Linked DNA regions of Tamandua tetradactyla. The main gene of each other region encodes a partner of the protein of the gene in region 2 in a complex. Links are inferred from orthologs where the notes say so. Each region holds a gene or a part of one and is shown on either strand. Other genes may lie near its edges.

What was found.
Region 1: the proteins of LCK (region 2) and CD4 are in contact, whole or in part, in an NMR structure (PDB 1Q68), measured with the Homo sapiens proteins. The link is inferred for Tamandua tetradactyla from reciprocal best matches to the Homo sapiens genes LCK and CD4. Residues at the interface, in NP_001036236.1 of Homo sapiens: Glu15, Ile17, Val19, Cys20, Asn22, Cys23, Tyr25, Pro26, Ile27, Val28; in NP_000607.1 of Homo sapiens: Ala429, Arg431, Ile435, Leu438, Leu439, Lys443, Thr444, Cys445, Gln446, Cys447.
Region 3: the proteins of LCK (region 2) and CD8A are in contact, whole or in part, in an NMR structure (PDB 1Q69), measured with the Homo sapiens proteins. The link is inferred for Tamandua tetradactyla from reciprocal best matches to the Homo sapiens genes LCK and CD8A. Residues at the interface, in NP_001036236.1 of Homo sapiens: Cys20, Asn22, Cys23, Tyr25, Pro26, Ile27, Val28; in NP_001139345.1 of Homo sapiens: Arg212, Arg213, Val214, Cys215, Lys216, Cys217.

What each region holds. Positions count from the first base shown.
Region 1 is NC_135333.1:69,078,533-69,088,194, forward strand, and holds the start of CD4 (T-cell surface glycoprotein CD4), read left to right. Parts: upstream 1-5,706; 5' UTR 5,707-5,821; intron 5,822-6,160; 5' UTR 6,161-6,687; intron 6,688-9,662. UniProt on the Homo sapiens protein: Integral membrane glycoprotein that plays an essential role in the immune response and serves multiple functions in responses against both external and internal offenses.
Region 2 is NC_135328.1:193,640,403-193,650,279, forward strand, and holds the start of LCK (tyrosine-protein kinase Lck), read right to left. Parts: upstream 4,457-9,877; 5' UTR 4,303-4,456; intron 1-4,302. Other genes in the region: protein FAM167B, read right to left, coding at 6,453-6,683, 7,340-7,591. UniProt on the Homo sapiens protein: Non-receptor tyrosine-protein kinase that plays an essential role in the selection and maturation of developing T-cells in the thymus and in the function of mature T-cells. Plays a key role in T-cell antigen receptor (TCR)-linked signal transduction pathways.
Region 3 is NC_135343.1:60,257,956-60,268,530, reverse strand, and holds the start of CD8A (T-cell surface glycoprotein CD8 alpha chain), read right to left. Parts: upstream 4,398-10,575; 5' UTR 4,173-4,397; coding exon 4,124-4,172; intron 4,036-4,123; coding exon 3,670-4,035; intron 3,129-3,669; coding exon 3,015-3,128; intron 2,845-3,014; coding exon 2,734-2,844; intron 2,175-2,733; coding exon 2,144-2,174; intron 244-2,143; coding exon 192-243; 3' UTR 1-191. UniProt on the Homo sapiens protein: Integral membrane glycoprotein that plays an essential role in the immune response and serves multiple functions in responses against both external and internal offenses. In T-cells, functions primarily as a coreceptor for MHC class I molecule:peptide complex.

The DNA.
Region 1 (9,662 bases), on a different chromosome or scaffold from region 2:
TTTGATACTGAATTACAATGAAATCTATCATTTGGAACATATATTTTCCAAATGACCAAGGCATGATGTTACAAAATCATGGGTAAAAGGTCTATTCAAAGAGTATGATAGATTTTTAAAAAAACCAAAATCAAAACAAACAAACAAAAAAAGCTTTGGGCGATGCGATGGTGGCTCAGTGGTAGAATTCTTGCCTGCCATGCGGGAGACCTGGGTTTGATTCCCGGTGCCCGCCCATGCAAAAAGTCAAAAATGAAAACAAAGTGTATGATAGATCAACGGATTTTAATGTAATGGAGTACAAAGGTGAGTTACAGTTTCCGATTCTATACTGCAACTAACTTTTAAAAAGCTAACATTTCTCTAATTTTAGCATACTATCAAAGAAGAATATCCACGAGGATCTGAAAAGCCTATTAAGATGTTTTCTTCTATTCCAACAGCCTGTCTGTGTGAGATCGGCTTTTCTTCATAGTCTTTCCCTAAAACAATAAGGATCCAGCTATCTTATTAAAGCAAATATTAAAGAGTTTTTTAAAAAAGGTAAGATGTCACGCTTTTTAATAAATTTTGCTTTGGAAAATATAGTTTTTTTTAAAAAAATGTTTTTCCGATTAACTTACAATAGGTTTATTATTATTTTAAAATCTAAAACTTTTCCAGTTTCAATTAAAAAAATAAATCTCTTGGCAGGGGAGGGGTCCTCAATAATTTTTAGGAATGTAGAAGGTCCAGAGAACAAACCTTGAAAACCATTGCTCTAGATCACAGGTAGGGAGTAGGAGAAGGACAGAGGTTTCTCCCAGGCAAAGAAATAACTTATCCATAGACCCTAGGGTGGGAGGCGCTCAGTGCCTTCGAGGGACTGAAAGCCCAGAGTGGCTGGAGCAGGGTGGCTGAGGTGGAGGGTGACTCCACTGGCTCTGCTGGTGAGGGTTAGAGGAGCCATGTCGCATAAGGCCCTAGGCCAGGTTAAGGGTTTAGGTCTTCATCCAGAAGAAATGGGAGGCCATTGAAGATTTCATTTATTATTTTTTTCCCTAGGCTGTTACTAGGTAATACAAGCATGTGGTACCAAATTTCAAAGGCACGGTGGGTTATATCTCCCACCCTACTTCCTCAGTCTGCCAGTTCCCTTCCTCTGAGGCTACCCCTCTTGCCAGTTTCTTTCAAACTTTTTTTTATTGCATAGTATAACATATTTACAAAGCAAAGAAAGAAAAAAGCAATGGTTTTCAAAGCACTTTTCAACAAGTAGTTGCAGGACAGATTCCAGAGTTTGTCATGGGTTAATGTCATACCATTATCTCAGATTTTTTCAATCTAGCTGCTCCAGAACATTGGAGGCTTGAAGGAATAAATGCTTTTTTATCATCACAATTGACCTTTTTTTTTTGTTTTTTGTTTTTGTTAAAGATAGCATATATACAAAAAAGCAATAAATTTCAAAGCACAGTGCAACAATTAGTTGAACAGATTTCAGAGTTTAGTATGGGTTCTCCTATTTTAGGTTTTTGCTTCTAGCTGCTTTAAGATACTAGAGACTAAAAGAAATATCAATATAATGATTCAGTAATCATATTAGTTTGTTAAACCCTACCTTCTCTGTGTAATTCCACCATCACCTATGATCTTTCTCCCACTCTTTAGGGGTATTTGGGCTATGGCCATCCTAACGTTTTCATGTTGGAAGGGTTGTCACTAATATGGGGTAGGGGGATGGAACCAGCTGACGTTCTGGAGGGTCTGAGCCCTCTAGGTTCTAGGCTTATCTGGTCCAGGGACCCATCTGGAGGTTGTAGGTTTCTGGAAAGTTACCCCAGTGCATGGAACCTTTGTAGAATCTTATATATTGCCCTAGATGTTCTTTAGGATTAGCTGAAATGGTTTTGGTTGGGGTTTGGCAAGTTTGATAAGTAACAATGTCTAATTGAAGCTTGCATAAGAGTGACCTACAGAGTAACCTCTCGGCTCCATTCAATCTCTCTCAGCCACCGTTACCTTATTTGCTACACTTCTTTCCCCCTTTTGATCAGGATGATATTGTTGATTCCACGGTGCCAGGGCCAGTCTCTTCTCTGTGAGTCATGTTCCACACCGCCAGGGAGATTTTCACCCCTGGATTTCATGTCTCATGTAGGGAGAAGGGCAATGATTTCACTTGCAGAGTTGGGCTTAGAGTGAGGCCACATCTGAGCAACAACAGAGGTCCTCCAGAAGTAACTCTTAGGCATACCTATAGGTAGGCTAAGCTTCTCTGCTTCTTACATAAGCTTCACAAGAGAAAGCCTCAAAATCAAGTCCTTGGCCTATTGATTTGGGTGTCCCTAATGTTTGACCAGTATCAGGAGTTTCCCTTGTGGTAAAGTTTAATAGTTCCATATTTTTTCTCCCATCCCTCAAGGAACTTTGCCAATACTTTTTTATTATCTGCTTTTTCTTTCTTTCTTCTTCTTTTTTTACTTTTTATTTTGAAGTAATTTCATACTTACAGGATAGTTGCACAAATAATACAAAATCCTTACAGAGAACTCCAGCATACTCCCACCTAGATACAAAGATCTAACTTTCAACATTTTGCCACGTTTGGCATATCATTCTACCTACCTACCTCTCTTTCTTTCTTTTTTCTACCTGTTACCTGACAAGGGTGGTGGATTCTTTTGCCTGATGTGCTCAAATGACCAATTCCTGAGACACTGGGGTTTCAAAGAGAGAAAAAAAGTTTATTACTAGGCATGTAGCAGGAGAGCAGATGGCCTATTGGTCCAAAATCTAGTCTCCCCAAACTGCAGTAATTCTGATAGTTTTATTAGAGAAAAAGATGGGCAGGGTTTAGGATTATGAACACAGTGGCCCCACCTGATGTAATTAGAGGTGATCTAGTTATTGAATAGGCACAAATTGATTACAAGCTTAGTCCCAGAATACATGTAGGAAAATAGCTGCCTTAACGCAATGGTGGGCATGATTTTTAATATTATAATGAGGTATAGGTAACTTGTAGGTTAATGTCTAAGCTACCGTGCATGTCAGGCAGGCTCATTTTGGTTAAATCCAGTCTCGATTCTCAATTTAACTTTGGGGTGGGTTAGTGCTGGGCTGACCCAAGACCCTTCATTAATAAACATTAGGGACTGCCTTTAGTGATCACAAGAATCTAAAGTTGAAAAACTGGTTAAATGGGTATAAATGAAGGTCAGTCACAAGGTTTTTATAATCACAAGGGCAGAAGATAAAGATCATCATCAGAGATCAAGACAGCCAGATTGCAATTCAGAGATTTCAGGTATTTCCCTCTGTCTACTCCGATATACCAGAAAGCAAAAAAAAAAATCTATATAATGATTCAGTAAGCAAAATCAGCCCTTAAATCCTAATTTCTTGGTTACATACCTATCTGTCTGTCTGTCTCTATCTAACTATCTATCACCTATATCTATCATTTACCTACCTGTCCACCTTTGATCTATTTTGTAAACATTTGAGAATAGGTTGTATACATCATGCTCCTGGAACACTATATTAGTTAGGGTTCTCTAGAGAAACAGAATCAACAGGAAATATTTGCAAATATAAAATTCATAAAAGTGTCTCACGTGATTGCAGGAATGCGGAGTCCAAAATCTGCAGGGCAGGCTGTGAAGCTGATGATTTCGATGGAGGGTCTGGACGAACTCCACAGTAGAGGATCACCGGCCGAAGCAGGAAGAGAGCCTGTCTCTTCTGAATCCTCCTTAAAAGGCTTTCCAGTGATTAGAGTGAGCATTACTCATTGCAGAAGACACTCCCCTTTGGCTGATTACAAATGGAATCACCTGAGGATGCAGCTGATGTGATCATGATTTAATTCTATGAAATGTCCTCATTGCAACACACAGGCCAGCACTTGCCCAACCAGACAAACAGGTCCACCTTTCAGTCAAGTTGACACATGAACCTGACCATGACAAACACTTAATATCTCTATGTATGTTTCTTTATAACAAGGACATTCACTTATGTAACCACCTTAAGTACTATTATCAAGTTCAAGAAACTTAACACTGATATAATGCTTACAGTCTATATTTTTCCATATGTCCCAATAACGTCCTCTTGGGTCTTTTTTGCCTCTATTATTAGTTTCAATCCAGGGTAATGGGTTGCATTTAATTTTCTTTGTCTCTTTAGTCACTTTTTTTTTAATTATGAAAATATATATCTCAACAGTTTCTTTTTTACAATGCAAGTCAGACTCTATCTGTAGTTATGTCAAGTTCACAGGTTAAGGACAAGACTGTCCTCACTTCAGACACTAGCCACGAGTTCCGAAGTTCCAGGACTCTGCACGTCTGACACAATTGGCTACAAATTTGGGAGTTCCCACCACTTCCTTAGTTTTAATAATTCACTAGAATGACTCATAGAACCTGGGGATCTATTATACTTACAGTTACTTTATTATTATTATTATTATTATTTTATTTTTATTTTTTTAACATGGGCAGGCACCGGGAATCGAACCCGGGTCCTTGGGCATGGCAGGCAAGCACTCTTACCTGCTGAGCCACCGTGGCCCGCCCTTTATTATTATTACTATTATTTTGGCATGGGCAGGCTCCAGGAATTCTCTGGGATAGGAATAAGAAGGAGCCAAAAGAAGAGACACACAGGGCAAGGTCTGGGAAGGTCTCAAATCCAAAGCTTCCATGTCATTTCCCCATGGAGTCTGGATGCTTCACTCTTGGGGCATGTTGATGTGTATTACCCATCAGGGAGTTCACCTGAGCTTACACATTCAGAGTTTTTATTGGAATTTTCTTATGTAAGTATGATTGATTGCATTTTTACCCAAGTGGTTGAACTCAAGCTCCAGCCCTGCAGTGCCTTAGCAAAGGTGGGGCTGATATTAAGTGGCTCAAAAGTCCAACTCTCTACTCACAGGTTTGGTCTTTCTAGCCTACAGTTGGGCAGCCGCCACCCTAAGACTGCTTGTGGGGCTGGCTCTGCCCTGAATCATATCATTAGTATAAATTCTCAGGTATGGGGTGGGGATGGCGGTTAGCAAAGACTTTCCTAGCATTTAAGAACTTACAAGCGTTTAGAGGTTAGCCTCCAGGATCCTGGACAAAGGCCAGAGTCCTTTTTGGAAGCAAAATTTCCGTTTATGTATACATCCAGAGGAGTCTACCATACCTAAGCATGTATACATATGCTACTTTCTTTTTTCCTTTTTTTCTTAAACACAAATGGGAAAAATGTAGCACTTACACTTTCCACTTGACAATCTCTTTTGAATATTGTTCCTTATCAGTACTTAAAGAGTTTCCTCATTTTAAAAAAATGATTGCATAAAAATTTATGGTATGGATCCACCATAATTTATTTAATCAGTCCCTTGTGGATTTAGGTTGTTTCCAATTGTTTGCTGTTACTAACAGTGCTGCAATGAAAATACTTGTTCATATGTCATTTTCCATATAGAAAGTACATTGATGATGTAAATTGCTGGGAGTGGAAATGCTGGGGTCAAAAGGTCTGTATATTTTAAATTTTGATATGTATTGATTGACATAGAGGTTGTATTAATGTACACTCTCATCAACAATGTGTCAGCTTTGAAGAGTTTTAGCAGGGGAATGACACAACCGTATTTACATCTTTAAATGTTTCTCAGGTTGCCTTGCAAAGTATGGCCTGGAGGAAGGCAGAATGGAGGAGCAGGGGGCCCAGCCCCAGACAACAGCTGTAGTTCAGGACAGAATGATGATGGCGCATTGCATTGGAGTGGTGGCAGTGGAGTAGAGTGACCTGGATAGATTTCAGAACTATATAGAAGGTAATGTCCACAGGGATTGGTAAATAAATACGTAGGAAGGATTGGGTGCAGGAGTCAAGGATTACACCCAGTTTATTTGGCTTGAGCAATGGGTGGATGTTGAAGCCCTAACTGAGTGGGAAATCTGAAGGGAAGTGGATTTGGAGGGTGGTAGTACAAAGATACTGGATTTACTTTGTCTGAGGAATGCCTAAGTGGAAATGTCCAGAGGGTAGGGGATATCATCCCAGAAGGTCTTGAGAGATCAGGCTAGCGATAAACATTTCAGGGCTGGCCAGAGCCTGAGGCTCAGAGGAGAAGGTACAGTCGTCGGCCACTCTGAACCTACGCATTCCACAGGTCCTCCACTCACCCCTTGCCCTTGCTGCCACATTGGACACCTATACTTGGACCCCCAGAGGTACCTACTGGACAAATACCCTTGTGGCTCTGGAGCCGGGCGCTGTCTTGGGGGATTCTCCACAGCTGTTCTCAGAGGTCACCCACCTGCCTCCCACTTCTTTCCCCCAAAGCCTAGGCCAGATGGCAGTATCATTGCTAAGATCTTTTTCTTGCCACCCAACAGAGGCAGAGACGCTCTGGGCTCCAGCCTGGCTCTGCTTAACTTTTTCCCTTGACTATGGCATTTTCGCTTTGACATCTTCCCCAAGAACCAGGGGGTGGGGACCCCAGCCCCAGATGGTGACGTTGGGGGCTGGCCCAGGCCTGGGGTGTGGAGGAGCTGGCTTCCTGTTTCTCTTCATTTAAGCACATCTCTGCAGAAGGAGCAGAGCCCTCTGCCCACTAGACTCCTGGCTGCAGAGTTCCCAGTCCTCCCATAGACACGCTGTGTGAGAAGCAGAGGGACCGAAGACACAGGCCCAGAGGTAAGATGGACAGACTTTCTCTCACTGAGGCTGGGAAGGGGAACCCAATGCCGAATACTCTGGAATGTGCTGGACTCTCACTCTCTCCCTATAGCTCTGGCCGCCCTCTAACTTCTCACACATCTGGTCATATAGTTGCTATCTCCCACTGGGACTATGGGCTTCCAGAGGACAGGAACTATACCAAGTTTGTCTCATCCCCACGGTGCACACCTCTGTGACTGGGGTGAGACCTGCTCAGGAGAGGATGGTGGCTTTTGCAAGCTCAGAGAAGTGTGGGGAACTTAATCATGGGAAGGCAACTTCCCATGGGCCCTGGAGGAGATGAAGATTGGGTGACGGTGTCAAAAGAAACAGTCACCAGCATAATCAAAGTGGCAAGTTTGTTGAAGGAGGAACTCCTCCAGCAGGGAAGACCTCGAACCAGGGAAGCTGGAGCAAATGTGGCTTAATTGCAATATTGTCGGAGGTGCCTTCCAGCTTCTTGAAGAGCCCCTGAGTTCATTTGTTTTTGTCTTCTGGAAGATCCTTTCTTGGAAAGGGGTCCTTCCAGCAAGCCCAATGCAAGGGGCCATCTTATTTTATTTAACGAGGGGAAAAGAGAAAAAAAGGGAAGAAGGGGTGGGAAATAATAGAAAGAATGAATAAATATTAAGGAGGGAGGATGCCTATAAAAAAGAAAAGAACAGACAAGGATAAAAGCAAGATGAAAAGAAGGAAGTAGGATTTAGTCTAGAGGTGTTCTCCCCAAGTCAGTTTGCCTGGTGACGCAATCACCAAAAAATCCACACCAGAAATCATGCCTGCAGCATTTCATAAGCCACACAATCGATAGAGCCTCTTTTTAACTCTCTTTTCTGTTTATGCGTCTTTAAAATTTTTTTCTATACCTGTGCATTTTTTAAGGATTTTTTTTTTAACAATTTGTAGAAAGTCCCTTCCACTTTAATTGGCTTTAAAAGTGATTAATAAAATGAGAAAGCCAAAACGAAACTGAACGTGTATGTATGAAATGTTGCAAAAGTGACAGATATGAATTTTTAGGCAAATAAGTTGTTAGAGAAATTATTTCTAAGAGAATGGGCTTTAGGCGCCTTGGCCTGCTCTGGGAAAGGAGGTCTGGAGAAGTGGTCTTGGACTCTAGGAAGTCTCCATGAAGCCTGCAAGCGCGAGGGGTGTGTGTGTGTGTGTGTGTGTGTGTGTGTGTCTGAGGGCACATCCCGCTGCTGCTGGGCTCGAGGGGGCTGAGCGGGGCCTTGGGGAGAAGATGAGAGGATTTGCCTCCTAGGACTTGGTGGGGCCGGGGGGGTGAAGCAGGATGCGATGTCTCCACACCGGGATGTCCTGTAAAACTGCAGCCCCTGCCTCCACACGCTTAGGCCTCTCCCTTCTCACACCTCCATGGTCTCAGAGCCCTGCCCTTCCCCAAGTTTCCTTGGCCTTCCCTTCATAGACTATTTCTGAGAGAGAAAACCGGCTAGGGTACAGTCTGATCCATCAAAATACGGAAGCTCCATTCTCCCTAATTCAAGGGTCTCATTCCGGGTGGAATAGCTCTTCCTGAACAGCCTACTCTTTTGGGGTCAATTTTCAGGGGTGTTGGCTAAGAGCAGAACACAGTGGTGGAGATCATGAATATTTCACCTTTTGACACCTAATCTCTTGTGCTGTATTAGATTCTGTAGCCTCATATAAAATGGCCGCCCTCTTACCCTCAGAGGAAAGAGCTCCCAGAGGACAGAGAGAGAGATACTCAGGAGGTGATTTCCCCCTTTCAATTTGGGACACTTAATGTAGAAGGGCTCTATCTCATAAAAACTGCCCCCTCCAACTGTTTCTAGGCAGAAGCTTTGAGAGCCTTAGGCCATTCTCCTGGTGAGGCAGCGCTGGGATGAGGCAGGTAGGCCGAGGATCTCGCACATTTGAGACACTCAGTAAATGTTTGTTGAATGAATAAGTGTGATGAGGGTGGGGGAGCAGATACCTGGGTGCTGGGAGGGTCTAGGTGGGTCCTGGGTTTGAAAGGCTGTAAGGCTGAGCTCTCTCTGTACTCAGAGATAGGGGGATAAGGGAAGGAGGGAGGGCACAGTTCCCCCCATGTGGGCGTCTGAGGCAGAGAGAGGATGGTGGAGGTTGCAGCCACCGAACCACAAGGGACCCCTTAGAGGGGTCATGGTCTCTAGAAAGTCTAAATGAAGACTGTAAGCATAGGCAGGGTGTGTGTGTGTGTGTGTGTGTGTCTGAGAGCACATCCCGTGGTAGGCTTGAGGGGGCTGAGCGGGGACTATGGGGAGAAGATAAAAGTGCCTGTGGGACCACAGACTGTCACTGCGGTGGGGCTGTGCCCTCTTCCTCCCCCCAGCCTCGCTCCTTATCCCAGCCCCGGAGCCCAGGGCTGAGGGCGGCAGGAGGCTCACAGGCTCTGAGAGAGTGCGGGAGTGTTGCCATTTTGGTCTCATCTGCTTGTGGGGCTGTCTCCCTTTTGGTCTAGTGCTCTGTGCATATGTCTTGGCTCTCGGAAATTCTTCCTTTCTTTCCCTCTGCTTCCATCTTCTTGTACTGTCCTTGGCTTTGTGTGTGATTGTGGGTCGCGCAAGGTGTAGCTGTTGCTTTAATGAGCTGTTCTGGGTCCCTCCTTCCTTCTTTCTCTCTCATCCTCCTGTGGGGTTTCTATCTGTGTGTTTCTCCCAGTTTCTATCCTTTTCCCTTTGTCCGCCTGTGTCCCCCGCATTGAGCGATCATCTCTGGCATTCACCTCTGGGCTCCAGGCCCAGCTCTAGGGGACTCTCTTTTGGGGGGCTCTCAGATCAAAGCTGTGGAGAGCTTGCCTTCCTGCCAGAGGACAGGATGCCTGTTTACAGGCAGGAAGGGGCTACAGCTTAGTGGCAGCTGGAGAGGGAAAAGATGAGAAAGGAGAGGAGGCAAGGGGTTCTCCAAGCAATATCAGGAGAGTCAGAATTGCCTCCCGGCACAAA
Region 2 (9,877 bases):
AGACTAAACTAATTCATCATTTTCATTTTCCTTCATTTTATATGATTTTTGCCACGTCCACGGACTACTTTTTCAGTTGTAATATATTTACTTTAAAAGGAACACTTTTAAATTACCATAAATGTAAACCAGTATCACCAGCCATAGATAGATAGTACAAATCGGTACACATTAAAATAAACACATAATGTAATACACAAAATAACATTTTTAGACATCCATCCATTATCCCCTGAAATCAGCTCATACACATCAATGGTGGACAGGTCACATTTTAGGAAATGCTGCACTGCGAGGGAGAACATTAGGATTGGGCCCTTGTCCCTGGGTTGAAGGAGACCCAGTTTTTTTAGCTGGTGGGTCTATCAGCAAAAACTTAACGTGCCAGCCTTTGCACTAGTGCTGAGGACACAGAGGTGAGCAGACAAAAGGGGTTCCTGTCCATTCGGCCCCACGGTCTGTGATAGAGGCGGGCACTGCTCTCGCAGGTCACTCCCTTTTCTTAGGAAACCATATAGCCTGTCGTCAGCTCGCTGATGGGTGCTGTCTGTGACTCCCAGCAACACTGTCAATGCAAAACAGTTCCACTTGCCTGGTAGCAGCATCTCAAATTCACCACCATTACCCATTCGCAAGCTAAGAGGTAGCTAAATCCATTAAAACGATGAAGTAGAGCTCCATATGTTGTCGTGGAAAAAGAGTCCACAGATAACATGGCAAGCAAGTTGCAGAACCAAATGTAGAAAATAGGCCTATTTGCATTTAAATACGTATATATGGGGAATTCCTTTACACCAGCTCCTGTGCTAAACCTCTATTTGCATGATTTCGTGTAATTCTCACAATAATCTTATGAGGTAAGTGCTACCATTATTCCCATTCTACAGATATAAAAACTGAGCACCCCCCCCCCCAAAAAATGTACAGGGTTACTGTTTGGAAGATGGAAATGTTTTGGTAATGGATAATGGTGATGGTAGCACAACATTGTGAAAGCAATTAACAGCACAGTAATATATGTTTGAATGTGATTAAAAGGGGGAATGTTAGATTGTACATATGGTAATAGAATAGAATTTTTTTTAAAGAATCCATGAAACTACACTACTCAAACATCAAATCCTAAGTTCAACCGGGGACTTTAGTTAATAGCACAATTATAAAAATGTACTTTCATCTACTGTAACAAATTTTTCACACCAGTGCACGGGGTTAATAATAGGCTGTATGTGGGAATCTTGTATTGTATGTATGCTCGTTCTGCTAACTCACAACTTTTCTAATAAAGAAAAAATAATAATTGAAAAAAAAAAAGGAAATTTAAGACCCAAAGAGGGTAAGGAGTCTGAGGCCTCACAACAAACAAGTGGTGGACCTGTGAGCTGAACCTCGGTCTGCTCTGCCTTCCTCCACTGTGCAGGCTCTTAACCGCTGTGCTCTTAAGCAGCCATATGTGGAAAAGTCTAGAAGAATGCACACCAAATTGCTGAAAGCGAGCACATTCCAGAAGTGGACCAGAGGGGACACATTTCTTCTATTTTTTATATGTCTCTGTACTTTTTGAATTTTTAAAAACACCCATGTGCTAATTCTGTAAATGAAAAACGAACAGAAAAACAACAAAACCGCTACTAATGGAAAAACTCTACCAAGAGATGCCATCATTTGAGGAAGACCGACTGCGCAGCCCGTCTTCTCTCCGCCATACCCATCTCAAGAGGTGCAGCCCGTGGAAAAGGTCACTACGTAAAAAGGTTCTGCGGCCAAGGAAATTTGGGAAACCGCACTAGACTAAATTAATCAGATTTCTTTTCTTGGGGGATACTTTCAACGCTCTAACGCTCTGACATTGGTTGTGAAACAGAGGGACAGAGTTTGTAACTGAAGCCATGTGTACCTGGCCCCAGAGCCCTTTCCTTTCCAGGTGCCTCATGGAACTAATGTTCTACGGAAAAAGCTTGGGAAATGCAGCGCCGTGTACTTTAACCGTGCAGTTTGTTGTTAGAGGCGCCGGCCCCGGATGGTATCTTGGTCCTGCCTGTGTCCACCCCCACCCATCTCCCCTGAGAATTGCGTTTGCTGAGTTGAACCTGACCTTGAAGCCATCGGCTTGTGGGTGTGGGGATTGATTTTTACCAGTGCGGGTGTGTTGTGTGTGTAGCCTCTGCTTCTGCCTCTGAGTATACATGCACACATGTCCTCATGATGATATCCAGCCTGTTTCGGACAGGGAGGCCATGTTGTGGGACCCCCCTCTGAGGTAGACTCCTGACCTCAGAGGTAGCCCAGAATCCAGCCAGCCTGAGTTCTCACACCCACTATACACAGGAAACAACAAGTTCATATGCAAAGCTACACCACAAGGGTTGAGGGAATGGGTGGCTCACTGGCCTGACAAGGTGCTGAGTGGGTACAATTCTGGGCGAGGGCAGCCTTCCCTCTGCTGCAGCGTATGCATGGGGAGGGAGCACCGAACTTTCGTTAAGCACCTTCTACGTGGCAGGTATTAACCAGGGCATGTCACGGTCATTATTTTCTCTTTGATTCCCCACAAGCACTCAGTAAGGGAGGGCTTTATCATTGCCTCGGGTAAGGAAACTGAAATACAGGGGGTGAAGCCACTCGTCCAAGGAAATGGCAAAACCGGAATTGTACCTAGGTCGGCCTGAATCTAACACGCGTGCCCCTTGCACTACGCGACACCTTTGGCTCTCTTACCTTTGGTCTCTACCCTCATGGTACTCAAGGAACAGCGAGAGCCCAGGGATGGTGATTCTGGCTTCACGTCCCAAGCTCTCTCCAAAATGGGTTTTTGCTCTTCTTAAAACTGCCCTAATTCTTCCAGGAAGCCCTCTAGATCCCCCTGAGAGAAGCCTTCTCGCCTCTGAACCCTCGGTCCTTTCTCTGTCCCTATCTACGGAGCCCTTCCTCCCTTTGGGAAAAGCCTCTGTCCCTGAGCCCCAAAGATGAGGGAGAGATGAGGGCCACTGTCTGATTCATCTATTAGCACAGGAAAGGAAGGGACTGCTCATGTCAGTCAGCCAGGGGGTGGAGGAGTCCCCCTGCAGCACCAATGAGCCAACACATTTCCAGCCCCCACAGGCCTCGGACCTGGGGACAGAGGAAAGGCTGGGACGTGCTGACTAGGCGGAAATTGTGTGTTAAGAAAAACTCCAGTGGCGGAGGACATGGCAGGGGAACCTGGGATGTTTGGTTGAGGTAGGGGACTCCCCCACTAAACTGAAGGCTCAGAAGTAGAATGTGAGCGGGTGGGCGGGTAGCTGACTATGCCTTCCTGGGCCTCCACTTCCCTAGGCTGGAAGGAGGACTCGGAGGGCCTAGCTGGCCTGCATACAGCGGCCGCTTGAGGGCTGAAGCAGGAGGGAACAAGAGGAGTGAAGAGGACATTCTGCAACTCTTGGCTGAGGCAGGAGTGGCAACTCTCCAGAGAGAAGTTCAGAGTTCCTTGCCCACAGCCAACTGCACCCTGTCCAGGATAAAAATAACCCTTCCTCTCCTTTTCTCCCATCATCCTCTCCCCCTCCAACTTCCCAGAGTCAGAGCAGATACTTTCACCCTGGAGAGTCTAATCCAGATCATAAATATCCCCTTATGTAGCCATCCATTCCTATAGGGCGACCCCTCCCTCTCTCAAGTAATGCTGGTCACTGAAGATAAAATTGCTGCTCATGCCTCCATGCGGATGCCCTGGGTGGTTCCTCTCAGGAGATTATGGTCACTAGATCTGCCACAGGACACAGAAGATTCCTGGGTCCCCTGGACTCAAACCTGTCCATCACTCTACTCCAGGGAGGGTGGTGTGGGGGTCTCGATCTAGGCCATTATGCTCCCCCAGTGAAGCCAGAGCACTGCGTTCCCATCGTGGCCCGGCCACTGCCTTGCTGAGGCACCGTGGGGAATGAGCATCTTGCCTGATCAGAGTCTCAGGAGCCTCCTAAGTCAAATAAGGAACTGTAGTTGATGATTACTGAAGGCCTTTTAAATATCTGACATTCCATGTATCAGCTCTCTAAGAAACAGTGAGGCAAGGACTGATGGTGGATAGTGTGGCAGAGGCAAGAGCCACCCACTATGCAGGAAAGAGGTGAACCAGTCGCCCTCCATGCCTTCCACCTGACCACCAGCAAGCTTTCTCTGTCCCCCAGCCTGAAGGGCTGTTGCCTACCCTGGGACGCCTGACCCCATGCTCAGCTGCAGGCTCATTGCTGTCATCCCCAACCACGCCACAGCCCCTAGACCCCTGTTCCCAGTTCCCCTTACCCTGTTCCCAGTTCCCCTTACCTGCCCAGCCCGGGAGCCTTCCGGCCCATTCACATGGTCCTCCTGGCCCGGCCCGGCTGCCCAGTCTTGGTCTCAGCTCCCCTCGCCGTCGTAGCCTCTGCCTACCTCTTCGCGCCCACGTCCCACGCTGACTTCCTGCCTCCTCCTGAGGACTCCGCAGCCAACCCGGCCCCAGCAGCCCAACCACAAGCCTTCAACACCCCAAGCTTCCTGCTGCCATAGCCCCCCGCCCCTCAGCCCCTGGGGGTCCCATACATCTCCAGGGGCAGGCCCGACTTACCCGAGGGTGAGCACTTAGAAGATGAATGTTGGATGGAACCTCATGTCCTGGCCCGCAGGGTGCTCCTGGACAGCCCTTGAGCCCAACGAGCAGGGACAAGCAAGGAGCAAGCAGACACAGGCTCAGCTTACAGGGAAAGGCAGGTAGCACCACTGTTGCTGTCTGACGGCTTCAAAGTCAGCAGAAAGGACAGCACCTCTGTTCAATAGTTGGAGATTTAAACAACACCCATGCACAGTCAGACAGCAGCTCACTGGGTTGCTACAATCGGTAGGTAGAGCAATAGTCATGTTGTCTCAGGGGACAGGACAAGTGCTTTATTAAAGTCAGAGGCTAGGCTAAAACCCCTCTTATAGACAAAATCCTGGACAACCCGGTTTCAGGAAGCTGGCAGGTCAACACTGCATCTTCAGAAGGGCAGAGTAACAGACCCTACGAATTATGGGCAGGGCGATACGTACTAATTATGGTTGGAAAGTGAGGCGACACTTCTAATTCAGGGAGAGGCAAGGCCACAGCCCCTGGGAGAGATGCAGAGTCTGCCAGCATCTGCAACAGGTGGAAGGCAGAACAAACTCTGCTGCCCAGGCACCCAGGTGCAGGCAGCAGACTGGTGGAACTTCCTGCTATAGGCAGGATCCTTGTCATGAGCAGCAGGCAAACCAAGGACCTCCCTTTTGCCTGGGGCCAGTCTGACGGTGGCATTTGTCATGGGCAGAGGGCCAGGAACCAGGAATCTGAAGAACTCCAGGTGAACTCTGGCAGGCCCAAGAGTTGGGCCTTGACCCCACCCAAGGAAAGTGTGAATGCATCACCATCATGGCCTGAGCCCTGAGCAAGCTGGGGGAGGGGAACCCACAGAGTATTGTTGGGGTTTGTGAAATGGAAGCTGATTCTGTGTGCACCTCAGCTGTGAAGGTGGGAGGGGGGCAGGAAATGGGTGGGGGGAAGAGGAAGCCTGAGTTGAAAAGCCAGACAAAGAGAGTAACACAGAAACAAAGGCAGAGAGATGTAAAGTAAAAAACTTACAGAGCGCACATTGCTCAGAGCCAGGGCTCCAGGTCTGCGGCAGGGCACAAGGTCCTGCTCACCTTGCTGTGCCATCCTGAGCATCTCACCGTCCTTCTCTGGGCCATTAGCACTATTGTACTAATGCTACTGGGTGACAGTAATGACCAGTAATAGAAAGCTCACATTTATTAAGTGTTTACTGTGAATTATCTCACTTAAGCCATTTCTGACTACCTTGGAGTGAGAATTAGTATCTCAATTTTAGAAGTAAAAAAACAGATTCGGAGGTTGAGGGACCTCCTCAAGGTCTAATTGAAATAAATGGGGGAACTGACTTTGAACCCAGGTCTACCACATCCTGCATTCTACACCTTTCCAGTTTTTCCAGGTGCGGGTGACTTGGGATTTTAAATTACTTCCCAGTTCTGAGCTTGAGTTTCTGGCAAAGAAGCTGAGAGATAAGACAGAGAACTAGAACGGGACCTTCTGGTGGGGATGGGATTCCTCACTACCAAACAGGCCTTCTCCCCTGCAGGAATCACTGGTCCCAGCGACAGATCACAGACACTTGCACTTCACATGAGTAAATGACTACAGAGACTTTGTTGGAAATTAGAGAGGGTGTTTATTGAGAAGCCGGGGGTGGGGTGGGGGGTGGAGTGGGTTCTCCAGGTAGGGGTGGGGTAGGGGGTGGAGAGGGCACTACCTGGACATGACAGGATGCCTGAGCATTGTACTCTCAGAACTTCTGAGAGCTGAACCCTCCCTCACCCTCACCCGCTGTCAGGTGCTGGGGCCTCTGGGGCACCCTGCTCTTCTTCCTTCCTAGGCGGGCTGGGGAAAGGGCAGCGGTTGGCCCTCAGCAGAGGGTGAAGCGACGGGCACTGATGTTCATGCGTGTGAGGCCGAGGTGACGCAGTGGTGGGGCCAACGCTAGGCCGGCCCCTGGCTCCAGCTCCATGTCCAGCTCGGCCTCGTCCAGCAGCTCCTGGTGCAGGTGACAGGCCTGGTCCACCTTCAGCCGGTGCAGCTGAGCCCGCAGTCGCAGGAGCTGCCCAGCCAGATGCCGGTCCTGAGCCTGCATCTCCCGCTGCAACCAAGAGGGGACGTGAGCCTTGGCTGGACTAGTTCCGGCCCTCACGCCAGTTATCCCTTCCTGTCAACACTCTGGGCCTTTGTGCTGGTTGTGTCAGTCCCAGCTTCCTCTCGCCCCAGCCTGATCCCTCCCCATTTCAGATCTGGCTCCACCAGTGATTCTCAAACTTAGCTAGGGAGCTATTGTTAAACAAATACAGATGCCTGGGGTGCCCTCCTGGATCAGCCAACATAATCTCCAGGTTGAAGCCTGGGCATCTTTACATTGCAACATGTTGGGTTGAGAACCACCTGTTCAATACTACGCTCCTCGGATTTCTGCCTACAGCTTAGTCACTGCCTGCTTTTATACTTCAGTGTATCTTCGGGATACAGCAATTCCCAGAGTATCTTCTCCCACCCATAACTGGTGCCCTTCTCAAGAGCAGGACGATAGGAGCATATAGTTGATTGGAGCAGATACTTTTTCAGCAGAGCTCCCTAAACAAAACACAGGACAAATCTATTCCTTGCTTCTTAGGCCCAGGACAGAGTCACAGGAATAAGCAGCTGCTGGGGGGTAGAGTCCTTTCTTACTCCCTCCCCACACCCTTGGTCTTGGGCCCTAAGCAGGACTGGCCTCTGAAAGGCGCCCCACCCCACCAGACTCACCAGCTCCCGACGAAGCCACTCAAGAGCAGAGTCCACTGAGTCAAAGCCGCAGAGGGCTCCAGATCCCCCCGGCCCGGGCTTGGCTTGGACCCTGTGCCAGACCTGGCTCTGGACCCGGGCCGTCCACTCCAGGTAGGAGGGCCTCCGTGTCTGGAGCTGCAGCTTGGCCGTTAGTGCCTTCACAGAGTCCAGGCTCTCCTCCTTTTCATCCTCTTTGCCGACTGGCTGGAATTTCTGTGGCCCCAAGGACATGGGAGCTTTGGGATAGGCTAGGGAAGGGCTGGCAATATTGCCCAGGGAGAGGTGGCAGAAGCTGGGGGTGAAAGGAGTATGCCAGGGTGTTTGTGAAGGTCCAAGGTGGGCCTGGGGGGCTGAGTGTGACAGCGTGGGTGAACAGATGGGTGTAGGAGGCCGAGTCTGCAAGGGCTGGGATTTTCCTGAACTGCTCACCCAGGGAGCCACGTGATGCCCATCCTGGAGGCGGCAGGAGGAGCCCAGCTCCTCTGACCCCTTGGATGAATTTTATTGTTTTTGCCCAAAAGGAGACACCCAGTTCCCAGAAAGGAAGTTGCTCCAGGATAAGGAAAGCATCATCCGCAACAGAATGTTGGCTCTCCTCCCAAGCCCCACGTTAAGGAGCGGGTAGCGGAGAGAAGGCTGCCCAGCTGCCCCTGTCCTCCTTCATGACACTGGCCTTTCGGCAAAGGAATAGTGTCCCGAATCCTGGCCTGGGAGTCAGGACACCATGGTTCTGGGGCTGACTCTGTAGGACCTCGGACAACTCACTGACATTCTCTGGGTCTCAGTTGGGGCAGATCAATGACTTCAAATTATACTCTGAGGAGCCTTAGGGTTCCTTGGAAATTCCTTAGGGCAGAGGGAAGGGCAGAGTTGTGGTTGGTTTCTTAGCCCCCTCACAGGACTTCAACCAGATAGTTTCCTTTTTTAAAACTTTGTGTTGAAATATTTGAAATTTAACATACACGCAGAAAAATGCACATAACTACACACCTTGAGAAATTCTCATAAACTGACCACACCTATGTAACCAGTACCCAGATGAAGCCATAGTATCACCTGCACCCTGGAATTCCTTCTTTGGGCTCCTGGCCCCTCACTATTCACCTAAAGGTAACTGCTGCCCTAATTTCTGACTACATAGGATTAAACTCTGATATAAGAATTATACCCATTTTTATATTTCTGGCAGTTCTCAAACTTTATCATGCACCAGAATTACTTGGAGGGCTTTTGAAATAGATTGTTGGATTTGCACACCGATGTTCATACTGGCATTATTCACAATTGCTATAAGATGGATAAATAAAATGTGGTAAAAACATACAATGGAATACTACTCAGCATTAAAAATAAATGAAGTTCTGATACATGTGACAACATAGATGAATCTTGAAGGCGTTTTTCTACTTAAATAAGCCAGACACAAATACTGTATGATCTCACTGATATAATTAGAATAAGCAAATTCATAGAGTTGGAAACTAGATAATCTGTATCCTAGGGGTTGGGGTTGGGGTAAGGAATGGAAAGTTAATGATTAACTGGTACATAGTTTCTGTTTGGGGTGATGGAAAAAAGTTTTGGTAATGGATGATGGCGATAGTAGCACAACACCGTGACTGCAATCACCACTGAATTACATATTTGAATGTAGTTAAAAGGGGACATTTTAAGTTGTGTATATGTTAGCGGAATAGTGCTGTTGTTTAAGGACTGTACTACACAGTGAACCCTAATGTAAACTATGGTCTATAGCTAATATAGTTAACTTATAATAATATTCTTTCATCAATTATAACAAAGGTACCACACTAATATAAAGTATTTATGATAGGGAAGAGTGTATGTGAATGGGGTATATGGGAACTCTGTATTTTCTGCATGATATTTCTGTAAGCATCCCACTTCTCTAATATTAGGGGAAAAACAACAACAAACAACTATAAACAACAACCATCCCCCAAATTTCTTATTCAGTACGACTGGGGTGAGGCCTGATACTTTGCTTTTCTAATAAATTCCCAAGTGCTGGTGCTGGTCTGGACTTCATAATTTGTATTATTTTGTATCTGTTTTTATCCATACCACAATTCCAATTTTATATTTATTTTATGGGGGTCTACCTATGATTTCATTTTTTCATTTAAAAGAAAGATTTTGCCAAAAAAAGGAAAAAAGGTCTGAAACTAGAGAACCAAAAGGTCTGTTATAAGCAGGAGTCGGTCTTATTCTTCTTAGTAATTAAGCATCTGACAGAGAGTAGGCATCAGTGTTTACGGAATAAAAGAATAATTGGATGGATGAATGGATGGATGGGTCTTCCATTAAGTGGGTTTAACCTGGTAATTGACCATTGTGAGTCTGTCTCTTGCCAAACTGAAATCCTACCATCAGAACTTCCTCCGCCCTGGGTTCCCAGCACCTAACACAGGACCCAGCAACGCAGAGGGCAATACACACTTGGTGAAAGGATGGAGTGATAGTGGATGGCACTCTCGAGGGCAGAAATCTGCCCAA
Region 3 (10,575 bases), on a different chromosome or scaffold from region 2:
AGTGGCGCCCCTTAGGCCGCCTTCGCAGCATCTACCGAAACACAAAGGAAAAAGGATCCTCCCCACCCCACCCGAAAGTCACAGTCCTGAGGAGGAACCCAGGAAGGAAGACTGGAAGTACCCGAGGGAGGGCCGGGTGGCCCCGCTAGCTGGGAGATCCCTCGGCGCGCAGTGTCACGGCGGCCGCCATGTCAGATGCGCCTCTCTGCAGCTGCAGCCTTGGCTCCGGTTCTGGGCAGGGGCCTGCGGGAGGGGCGGGCGGCGTCCGGAGTAGGGATCCCAGAGCAGCCCTTATCCACCCCCACTGGCCCCAGCCTTTCCAAGGGTCCAAGGACTTGTCACGGGGCACCCCAAGCAGCAGGCCAATGACCTCTAGCTCTACCATCTCGTTGACCCTTGGAGCAGAATTAGGAGCAGGCGCCGGGCGAGAGGAGATAGAGACTTTCCCAGGCCACACGACCCGGAGATGGCTGAGCCGGCTCAGAACCAAGCTAGTCTAGCTTCTTGGAGCCTGTATCTTGGTCCCCAAGGAGGCGAGAGACCGCAGCCGATCACCCAAACCTCTTCTCGGCCCCAGGATCCCAGACGGTGGAGCACGGGAGCAAACCAACTCTGCCAAATAGAACTCCTTTATCTAAAGGGGCCCCTGACAACCCGAGCTGGCTGTTACAATAAAACGTGTTGATTCTGTACTTGGGCCAGGGCTCGCTGAAAGGGCTCAAGCTTTATGAGTCACATGTACACATACCATCCTCCAAAACCTCTTAGAGCTGAGCGGCCTCCATCACCACCGAGTCTAGGAACTCACATGTGTTAACCTGCATAGCTTGGCGTTTCATTTTGAAATTATTCACTTCGAAATGAGAGTTTTCAGGAAAGATAGAGATAAGGGACGATTCTCCCCCCAAAGCTTCCAATTGCACACCAAGTCATGAAAATGTGGAAATGCTAAAAATCCTCTCTAATTTTTAGAATCTTTATCCCTTAGGTATATCACCTATAACATGCTGGTTGATGATGCGTTACCTTTCCATTTTTTTAATTCATGATGTGTAAGACACTGAACTTGGATCCCTGCACAGAAATACCAGGGAGTGTGAAATGCAAACCTCATATATAAAAATTTAAATATTCTCACCCAAATATTTGCTGGTGAAAGTGACTGGGGAATATATAATCAGTTACTTGTGGCTTACTCCCTGCTCTGGCCCTCCACAAGCCCTGACTCAGGGAAGGAGTCTGAGTTTTGCCAGGAAGTTGCAGCTATGCTTCTTGCCGGTGGGATGGCTTTGGGCAAGTCACTAAATGTCCTAAGCCTCAGTTTCCTCATCTGCAAAATGGAGGCCATGGTAACACTTTTAAAGATTGCTATGAAACTTGACATTTAAATGCATGTAAGGCAAGCTACTCCTACACTGTAGTCTTCCACCCCATGGTAACTAGTACTGTTATTACTGATAATCTGTTGCTTTCCTCTTCCTGAGCCTGTGAGTTGGGAGATGGGAGCCCTGGGTGTCTACCCCACAGTTGCTGTGAGGATCAGCCCCCATTACAGTGCTAGGAGGCTCCCAATAGGGCTGCCTCCTGCCCGGAGCCAGAGGAGAAAGGAGGCTGAGGCCTTTCTTCAGATTGGTTGGTGGATTGGTTTTCCTCATCATTTCAGAATGTCTGGGGGCTGAAATTGTATGAGGTGTTTACTTGAGCTGCCAGGCACAAGAAAATAAGGGACCAAGACCCTTGTTTACTGAGCTCAGAGATAAGTGATTGCTCTTCCTCAAAACACCAGACTGCCAGCCAAGAGGGGAAAAAAAAAAAAGATTTTTCTTAAGAGAACAGCAAAATCCAGGTGGAATCATCCACATAAGGAATACTCAGGTACTCAGGTGCTATGGTAAATTGGGGGAGAGGGGGCCCTCAATTTTTTTTTTCACTCTAGTCCAAAAAAGGTGGAGGTTTACTGAAGTCAGACTGCTCTCCCCACCAGCTCCTCTCTGTCTAGGATCCATACTCCCTGCTTGACTTCTTTGAACATGGCTGCTATAGCAGCCTTCTAGGGAAGGTCCCTATCCTCTGCTGCTCCTGAAGCCAGGACCACACCCACCACTGCCTGGGCCAGCGGGTGGAGGACATATAAGAAACTCACCTGGGACACTTGCAAACTCGTCTTCTGTTCCCTTGATAAGAAACAAAAAGGAAAAAAAAAGTGACTTTCCCTCCCCAATAGTTCCCAAATACAGTTTCTCCTATTCCTTTGAGGATCACAACTCTTGAGCGCCCAGGTGACGGTTTATTTTCCATCCCTCTTCCCAGGCATCCATGTGTTTTTCTAGCATTGCAAACACAGGTGTGGGTGAACTGAGTCTGTGCCAGGAGTTGGTGCAGTCATAGGCATGGGACCCAAAGCAGGAGTCATGGTGGGGGAGGGCATAGAGAAGCACCAAGGGCACACTTGAAACCTATTGTGGTTGACCCAGCCCTTTTGGGGCCCTGGTCCCAGGGCCACCGCTGCCCCTCCCCGGCAGATGTTTGTAATCCACCGTGCCCTGTAGCGTCCTCAATGCGGCCTTCTCAGGTGGATGGGCCCCCTACTGCCACCGATCCCGGAATGGGCCGCTAGTCCTCCTTCCTAGAAGCTTCCCTGAGAATGACTCTTTCCACCCAGCTTGGAAGTCCCGTGGCTCAGTGGCTACGAATGGGCCCAAACACCCTTCGCTGTGACTCCCCAGGACTCACTGTGGCTGCAGATAGCGGTGACAATTAGCGACAGCAGAAGGACCACGCAGAACCCAGCCAGAGGCGCCCAGATGTAGAGGTCACAGGCGAAGTCCAGTCCCTTGGTGGCCACTGGGGACACCAGACGCACCGACGTTTCAGGAATGGGTCGGGACTCCCCACCCTGGGCAGCCACACCGGGGCACCACTCCGGCTCCGGGGCGCGGGATCCTGAGCCCTGCCCCAGCCCTCTGCTCTACCCGGCGATCAGAGCTGCCTGGTGCCCCGCATGCTTTCCTCACCTGGGCCGCCTGCTCCGGGCCGGCATGTCTCCGGGCGCGGGGTCGCCGACTGCAGCGCGTTGGTGGGCGCGGGCGTAGGCAGGCGCAACGCAGGTGTCGTGGGAGTGGGCTTCTCTGCGGGAGCCACAGCGCGGGGTTGCAGGCCAGCCCCAGCAAACGAACACGCCCCTTCCCCACCCTGCACCCCTTGATCCAAGGAGGCGCCGCCCCCCAGTTTTCCAACCTGGAAGCAACAGAGCGCCACCCGCGAGAGGGGGGCGGGTGAAGCGGGCTGGACGCGGGGACTGGGGTCACCCGCCCCCCGATTCGTGCTGACCCCTTCGCCGCGGGGCACCCTAGCCCCCTGCGAACCTCTTCACCGCCCCTCTCCAGGTCTCAACCAGCAGCCCGAGGAGCTTGGGTTGCTATCCTCATGTTACGGCCTCACAAACGGAGGTGGCCCCGGTGGCGGAGGGGGAGGTTAAGAAACTCGCCCAGGAGGAAACAGCCCCTCGAATTCGAGCCCATATGGACCGGGCAACCAAAGTCAACTCCAGTTCCTGCCCGGCTGCCTCTGAGTCCCAGTTTCCTCGACGGGGAAGGGGAAGCAGTATCAAAAGGAGCCCTGCGCCCCACGCGGACAACTGCTGCGCCCAGCGCGCGCATCACCCCGAACCTGGCAGGAAGACCGGCACGAAGGGGCTGAAGTAGATCATCAAGTTGCTCAGCACCGCGCAGAAGTAGTAGCCTTGGTCCTCCTCTCGGAAGGGGCGTAGGGTGAGGGTGAAGAGAGAATCCCGGACCCTCTTGCCCGAGAACCGGCTGCTGTCCAGCCCTGGGGCCATTTTCGTGCGGGTTTGCGTGATGTACATAAGGAAGCTGGGGCTGGCAGGGTCGCCGCGCCGCTGGAAGAGCCACGAGCAGCTCGACGCCGCGGAAGACAGCAGCACCTCGCACTGCAGCTCCACGGGCTCGCCCGGGTGCCCGCGGACCTCCCGCGGCGATACCCGGAACGCTCTCGACTCAGAGGCCGCCGCGGTATCTGCAGACGTCGGGCAGCGCGGCTGAGCCCGGAGTCCCGCGCACCCCTCCTCCCCATCCCCTTCCCCTCTCCGGGGTCGCACACTTACGGAGCAGCACGGCCAGCGGCAGGAGCAGGGCGGTCACCGGCCAAGCCATGGCGCGCTCCTCCGGAGCGCAGGGGAGGCGAAGGGGCCGCTCGGGAGCCGGCCCAGCAGGGAGAGGGAAGTCGCGTGCTGGGGCCGGCCGCTGGGCCCGATTTCGCTTGCGAAGGATATGATGTCACCCAAAGCCCCCGCCAAGACAGTCGTAGTGCTTTTCGTGGTTGTCACCTTCCGGACCGGCAACGGGGCTGGGCACGGCCAACGAGGGCCTGGCCGTCGAGGCAGCCTTGCCAGGCAGCCGGGGACATTGATAGCTGCGGGTTAGGGGATGAGGAAAAGGGCCTGGAAACGGCTCCTTTAGGGGGAGCTACAGACGCGACACAGAGGCTAGTGAGGGATTTAGGAGAGGGGGATTCCACTCCCTTTGCCTTCAGGCAAGATGGCCCTCTCAACTTGAGGCTTTTTGTTTGCAAAACTGGCACTGAGGGCTGAGAAGGAAGAGAAATTAGTGACCTGCCCGCTTCTCTGGAACTTGCGCAAGTTACTCTTGCGTACACTGAGGAAAGGCCTTCTCACTCCTTGGGGGTCCCTCCTAGCAATCTGGCCCCTGCCTCTTGCCCCTGTTTTCTGGGTAGCGATTGCTGCAGCCTCATAGGGCTGGAGATTATCTGACGACTGTACCGGCCTGTGCTTTCTGGACTTGCACTTGTTCCAATGTCTGGCTTGCATTCAGGGTTAAGCCCGGAGGCCAGCCTTGGTGCTCTGGCTGGACCTTAGTGGTCTCCTTACCCCCTGCTCTGGGTGCTCAACAGGTACATGGGCGCTGGTTAAGGCTTGGGTGGAGCTGGTTTTCCTGCTCCTGGTCCTGGTAGGTACACACAGCCCATTCCTTCCTCTTCACCTGTTGCTGCCCCAACAAGAGCCCCAGTGTTGTGCCCTCCCCCCTTCCCTTTAGAGCTCCCTGGCTTCCCTCTTTGGACCCTGTGCTGGGTGCAGGGCATGTTACTGCTGCCTGGTTCCATGTGCCTGCCCCACCAGTGAGGGCGGTGGCTCAGACATGGGGGTGGCTCCCCCACCCCCATGTCACCTCACAGCATGGTCTGTGCTGTTTGCTGACTGGGTCCAAACTCAAATGTTGGTGGGATGTTTTTTACCATTATTATTACTTTGATTTCAATGTTCTCCTTCCTCAAGGCATTCAAGGTGCTTACTCTAATATAGAGCATAGAACATTTTATATTTAGAAATGCTTTTGAAAGTGTTGTTGTTTTTTTTTTTCTAAACACAAAAGTAATCCCTTCTTGAGAAACTTCAGGCAATACGAAAATGAATAGAAGGAAAGCCCCAGGGCTCATCTCGTCACCATCTTCCACTCTCCAGAGCAAAACACTGTTACAGCCGAGTGTACCCCGTGCCTACCCTGTGCCTATCCATTGCTTTAGAAACGTGGGGCTATACTATGCATATATTGTTCCTAGTTAGCAGTAGAAGAAGGAGAGCAAAGTTTCGTGTTGGCACATGTGGATCTATACCACTATTTTAAATGGATGTTCTATAGTTTAGTACCCCTGATGATTGACGTTTAGGTAGGGAGGCTGCAGTAGATACAAGGCACCTGTGCAATTAAAGCCTTGTGCCAGGTCATGTAGCATTTATTCTCCATCTCTGTAATGTCTCTGACAATGTAGACACAGTGTTGTTCCTAAACTCACATGAATGAGAAGGGCAAGTGAACAACCAGGTCCAGACAGGCCAACAGCGTGACCATCATCAGTTTAGATGGCAGTTTCCCATTTTGCAGTCTCTGCTCCCACAGCAGACAGTACCTGCTCCGGCTGGTCACAGGACATGAGAACAAGGGTGAAATGACCAGACTCTAAAGGACATTGTGCTCAGCAGGGGTGGGGGGGGGGGTCTTAGAAGGGCACCAGAGTCAACCTCCTGATGTTGGAATCTTGGAGACCAGTTCCCTAAGTATGATGATGGCCAGATTTCTGGTGTGAAATGCTTGAAAATAGAGTACTCCCATCTAAGTCTTCTGGAAACGGGCTGCAACTGGCTCAGGAGCCTTCCAGCCTTGCAGCTACGCAAAGTGTGGGCTGGGGAGGGTGGGAGCCCATTGTACAGAGCACCACAGAGTGGGGGAGGGGAATGCCAAGGCAACATGTCAAACCCACCCAGAAGGCTTCTTGACCCCAATGATATTTTTCACAGAACAATGGTGGATTCTCAATGTAACCACAGCGACATCCGCCCTCCAGCACCCAGGAGAGCAGATGCAATTGCTTGGGTTCTGGGGATGCTTGCTTGCTCTAAGGCCAGGTGTGCAGAGGACTGGGCTGGGCCTGCCCATCCACTGCCAGTTAAGCTTCCAAACCCCATGCTGTGGCACTCACACGAGTGGTATGAGGAGACAGAAACAGCCACACTCCATCAAGCCAGCCTCTTATTTTTAAAAACATCCTGACAGAGACAGGGTGACAGGTTACCAGCCTCTATGCTGAATTTAAGCAGGTCTTTGTTTTTCTTAAGATGTTTGCTTTTTTGAAACTTAAAAAAATAACTTTAATTTACTTTAATTAAAGACATACTCAGAATGCATAACCGGGCAGTGGAAGGAAATTAATCAGGGCTCAGGGCCAGGGCTCCACAGAGGTGGCCTAGAGCACAACCTGAGGCCGTGGGGCTAGGGCCTCCTGCCAATTCAGGTCTGGGCAGAGTTCTTCCTGGAAGGACTTGGCTTCCTTGAGGCCAGAAAGGCCTGTGAAACTCTAGAATCATCAGGGTCTTGCTTTATCTCAATCACAATTCCATTTCATTTGTGACACCCCCACTTTGCTCTATCTCCAGGACCACCAAGCTCATTGAGACTGTGTTTGCAATGGTCTCATGACTACTTGTCCCGTTTCTATTCTGGTTCCCTCCAGCACTTCCTCCACAAACAATATCTTTTTTTTTGTAATTATTATTATTTTTTAGTTATACAAGTTGTAGGTTTACAGAAAAGCCATGTAAAAAATACAGTGTTCCCATATATTCCCCTACTGTTAGTTAGTGTGGTACCTTTTTTAACTAAAAGAATATTCAAACTGTACTATTAACTATTGTCCATAATTTATGTTAGGTGTATTTTTTTTCATATACCGCCCTATATCTTGTGCTAGTAACATACATTTGCTGTAGTCCATGAAAGAACATTCTTATACTTGTACTATTAACTATAGTCTATTATATACAATAGAGTTCACTGTGTTGTACAGTCCTATGTTTTATCTTTTAATTTTTACTCTCAGCAAACTCATAGAGTCAGATTTTAGAATATAGACATATATGACCCAAAATTTCACCTTTTAACCACATTCACATATGTAATTCAATGTTGCTAATTACACTCACAATATTGTGCTACCATCACCCCATACATTTCCAAAACTTTACAATCAACCTAAATAGAAATTCCGTCCAATTTCCCCATTTTCTACCCCCATCGAGTTGCTTTTAACCTATATTCTAGATTCTGACTCCATGAGTTTGCTTACTCTATTTATTTCATATCAGTGAGATCATCCAATGTTTGTCCTCTTGTGTCTGAATTATTTCACTCAACATAATGTCCTCAAGGTTCATCCATATTGTAACATGCATCAAAATTTCATTCTGATTCCTATTCATTTGAATGATGAATAATATTCCATTGTATGTAGGACACATTTTGTTTACCCATTAGTCAATTGACGGACACTTGGGTTGCTTCCATCTTTTTGGCAATTGTGAATAATGCTGCTATGAGCATAGGTGTGCAAATATCTGTACATGTCTCTGCTTTCAGATTTTCTGGGTATGTACCTAGTAGTGGGATTACTGGGTCATATGGTAATTCAATACTTAGCTATCTGAGGCACTGCCAAACTGTCTTTCACAGAGACTTCACCATTTTACGTTCCCACCAGCAATGAATGAATGTTTTTATTTCTCCACATCCTCTCCAATACTTGTAACTTTGGTTTTCTTTTTTAATAGTAGCCTTTCTACTGCGTGTGAAATGGTATCTCATTGTAGTTTGATTTGCATTTCACTGATAGCTGGTGATGTTGAGTATTTTCATGTGGTTTTTGGTATATCCTCTTTGGGGAAATCTCTTTTCAAGTCTTTTACCCATTTTTAAATTGAGTTGTCTTTTTTTTTTAATTTATTTATTAATTAAAAAAATTTGACAAATGAAATGAAATAAAACATTAACATAGATAATCAGTAATTCACAATATCATCACTTAGTTGCATATTTATCATTTCTTAGAACATTTGCATCCAGTCAGAAAAAGAAATAAAAAGACAATAGAAAAGAAATAACACGAAAACAGAAAAAAAGAAAGGTTATACCTACCATACCCCTTACCCCTTGATTTCACCGATCACTAGCATTTCAAACTAAATTTATTTTAACATTTGTTCCCCCTATTTATTTTTATTCCATATGTTCTACTCATTTGTTGACAAGGTAGATAAAAGGAGCATCAGACACAAGGTGTTCACAATCACACAGTCACATTGTGAGAGCTATATCATTATTCAATCATCTTCAATGAGTTGTCTTTTTATTGTTGAGTTGTAGTATTTCTTTATATCTTATGGATATTCCCATTTGGTAGGTTATCTTTTCATTTTAGTGATAAACTTTTGATGACCAAAAGTTTTGAATTTTGATGAGGTCCCATTTATCTACTTTTTATTTTGTTGCTTGTACTTTGGTCATATTCTAAGATGCCTAAAACAAGATTCTGAAGATACTTCCCTACATTTTCTTTTAGGGCTCTTTTATTGTCCTGGTTCCTATATTTAGGACTTTGATCCATTTTGAGTTAACTTTTGTATACGGTGTGAGATAAGGTTTTTCCATTGTTCTTTTGTGTATGGATATCCGGTTCTCCCAGCACCATTTGTTGAAGAGATTATTCTCTCTCAATTGGGCAGGCTGGGCAGCCTTGTCAAAAATCAATTGGCTATAGATGTGAGGATCTATTTCTGAACTTTCTCTTTGATTCCTTTGGTCTATATACCTATCCTTGTGCCAGTACCATACTGTTTTGACCTCTATGGCTTTGTAATAGGCTTTAAAGTCAGAAGATATGAGTCCTTCAACTTTGTTCTTCTTTTTCAATGTTTTTGGCTATTCAGGGTTCCTTACCCATCCAAATACATTTGATCATTGTTTTTTCCATTTCTGCAAATTAAGCTTTTGGAATTTAGGTTAGGATTGCATTGACTCTGTAAATCATTTTAGGTAGAATTGACATCTTAATGATATTTAGTCTTCCAATCCATGAACATGGTATGTTCTTTCATTTATTTAGATCTCCTTTGAATTTTTTTTAGCTATGTTTTGCAGTTTTCTGTGTAAAAGTCCTTTACATCCTTGGCTAAATTAATTCCAAGATATTTTATTCTTTTAGTTGCTATTGTAGATGGAATTCTTTTTCTTGATTTCCTCCTCATATTGCTCATTACTAGTGTATTGAAACACTATTGATTTTTGCATGCTGATCTTGTACCCCACTACTTTGCCATATTCGTTTATTTGCTCTAGCAACTTTGTTTGTAGATTATTTGGGACTTTTTATATGTAGGATCATGTCGTAGGGAAATAGTGAAAGATTTACTTCTTCCTTTCCAATTTGGATGCTTTTATTTATTTTTCTTGCCTAATTTCTCTGGCTAAAACTTCCAGCGTAATGTTGAATAACAGTGGTGACAGTGGGCATCCTTGTCTCATTCCAGATCTTAGAGGGAAAGCTTTCAGCCTTTCATCATTGAGTGTGATGTTGGTTGTGGATTTTTTCATATATGTCCTTTATCATGTTGAGGAACCTTCCTTCTGTTTCTATTTTTTAACTATTTTTATCAAGAAAGGATGCTGGATTTTGTCACATGCTTCTTCTTCATCGAGATGATCATTTTTTAATGTGGTGTACAACATTAATTGATTTTCTTATGTTGAATCACCATTGCATACCTGGAATAAAACCCACTTCATTACAGTGTATCTTTTAATATGCTGTTGGATTTGGTAGTATTTTGTTGAGGTTTTTGCATGTATATTCATAAAAGAAATTGTTTTGTAACTTTTCTGGTAGTATCATTATCAGCTTTGGTATTAGACTGATATTGGCGTCATAGAATAAGTTAGTCAGTGTTCCCTCCTGTTCAATATTTTGGATGAATGTGAGCAGGATTCTTCTTGGAATCATTGGTAGAATTCATCTGTGAAGCCAACTGGCCCTGGGATTTTCTTTGTGGGGATGTTTTTGATGACTGCTTCATTCTTTTTTACTTGTAATTGGTCTGTTGAGATTTTCTGTTTCTTCTAGAGTATAGTGTTAGTGTATTTCTAAGAATTTGGCCATTTCATCTAGGCTGTCTACCTCATTGGCATACAGTTGTTCACTGTATCCTCTTATGTA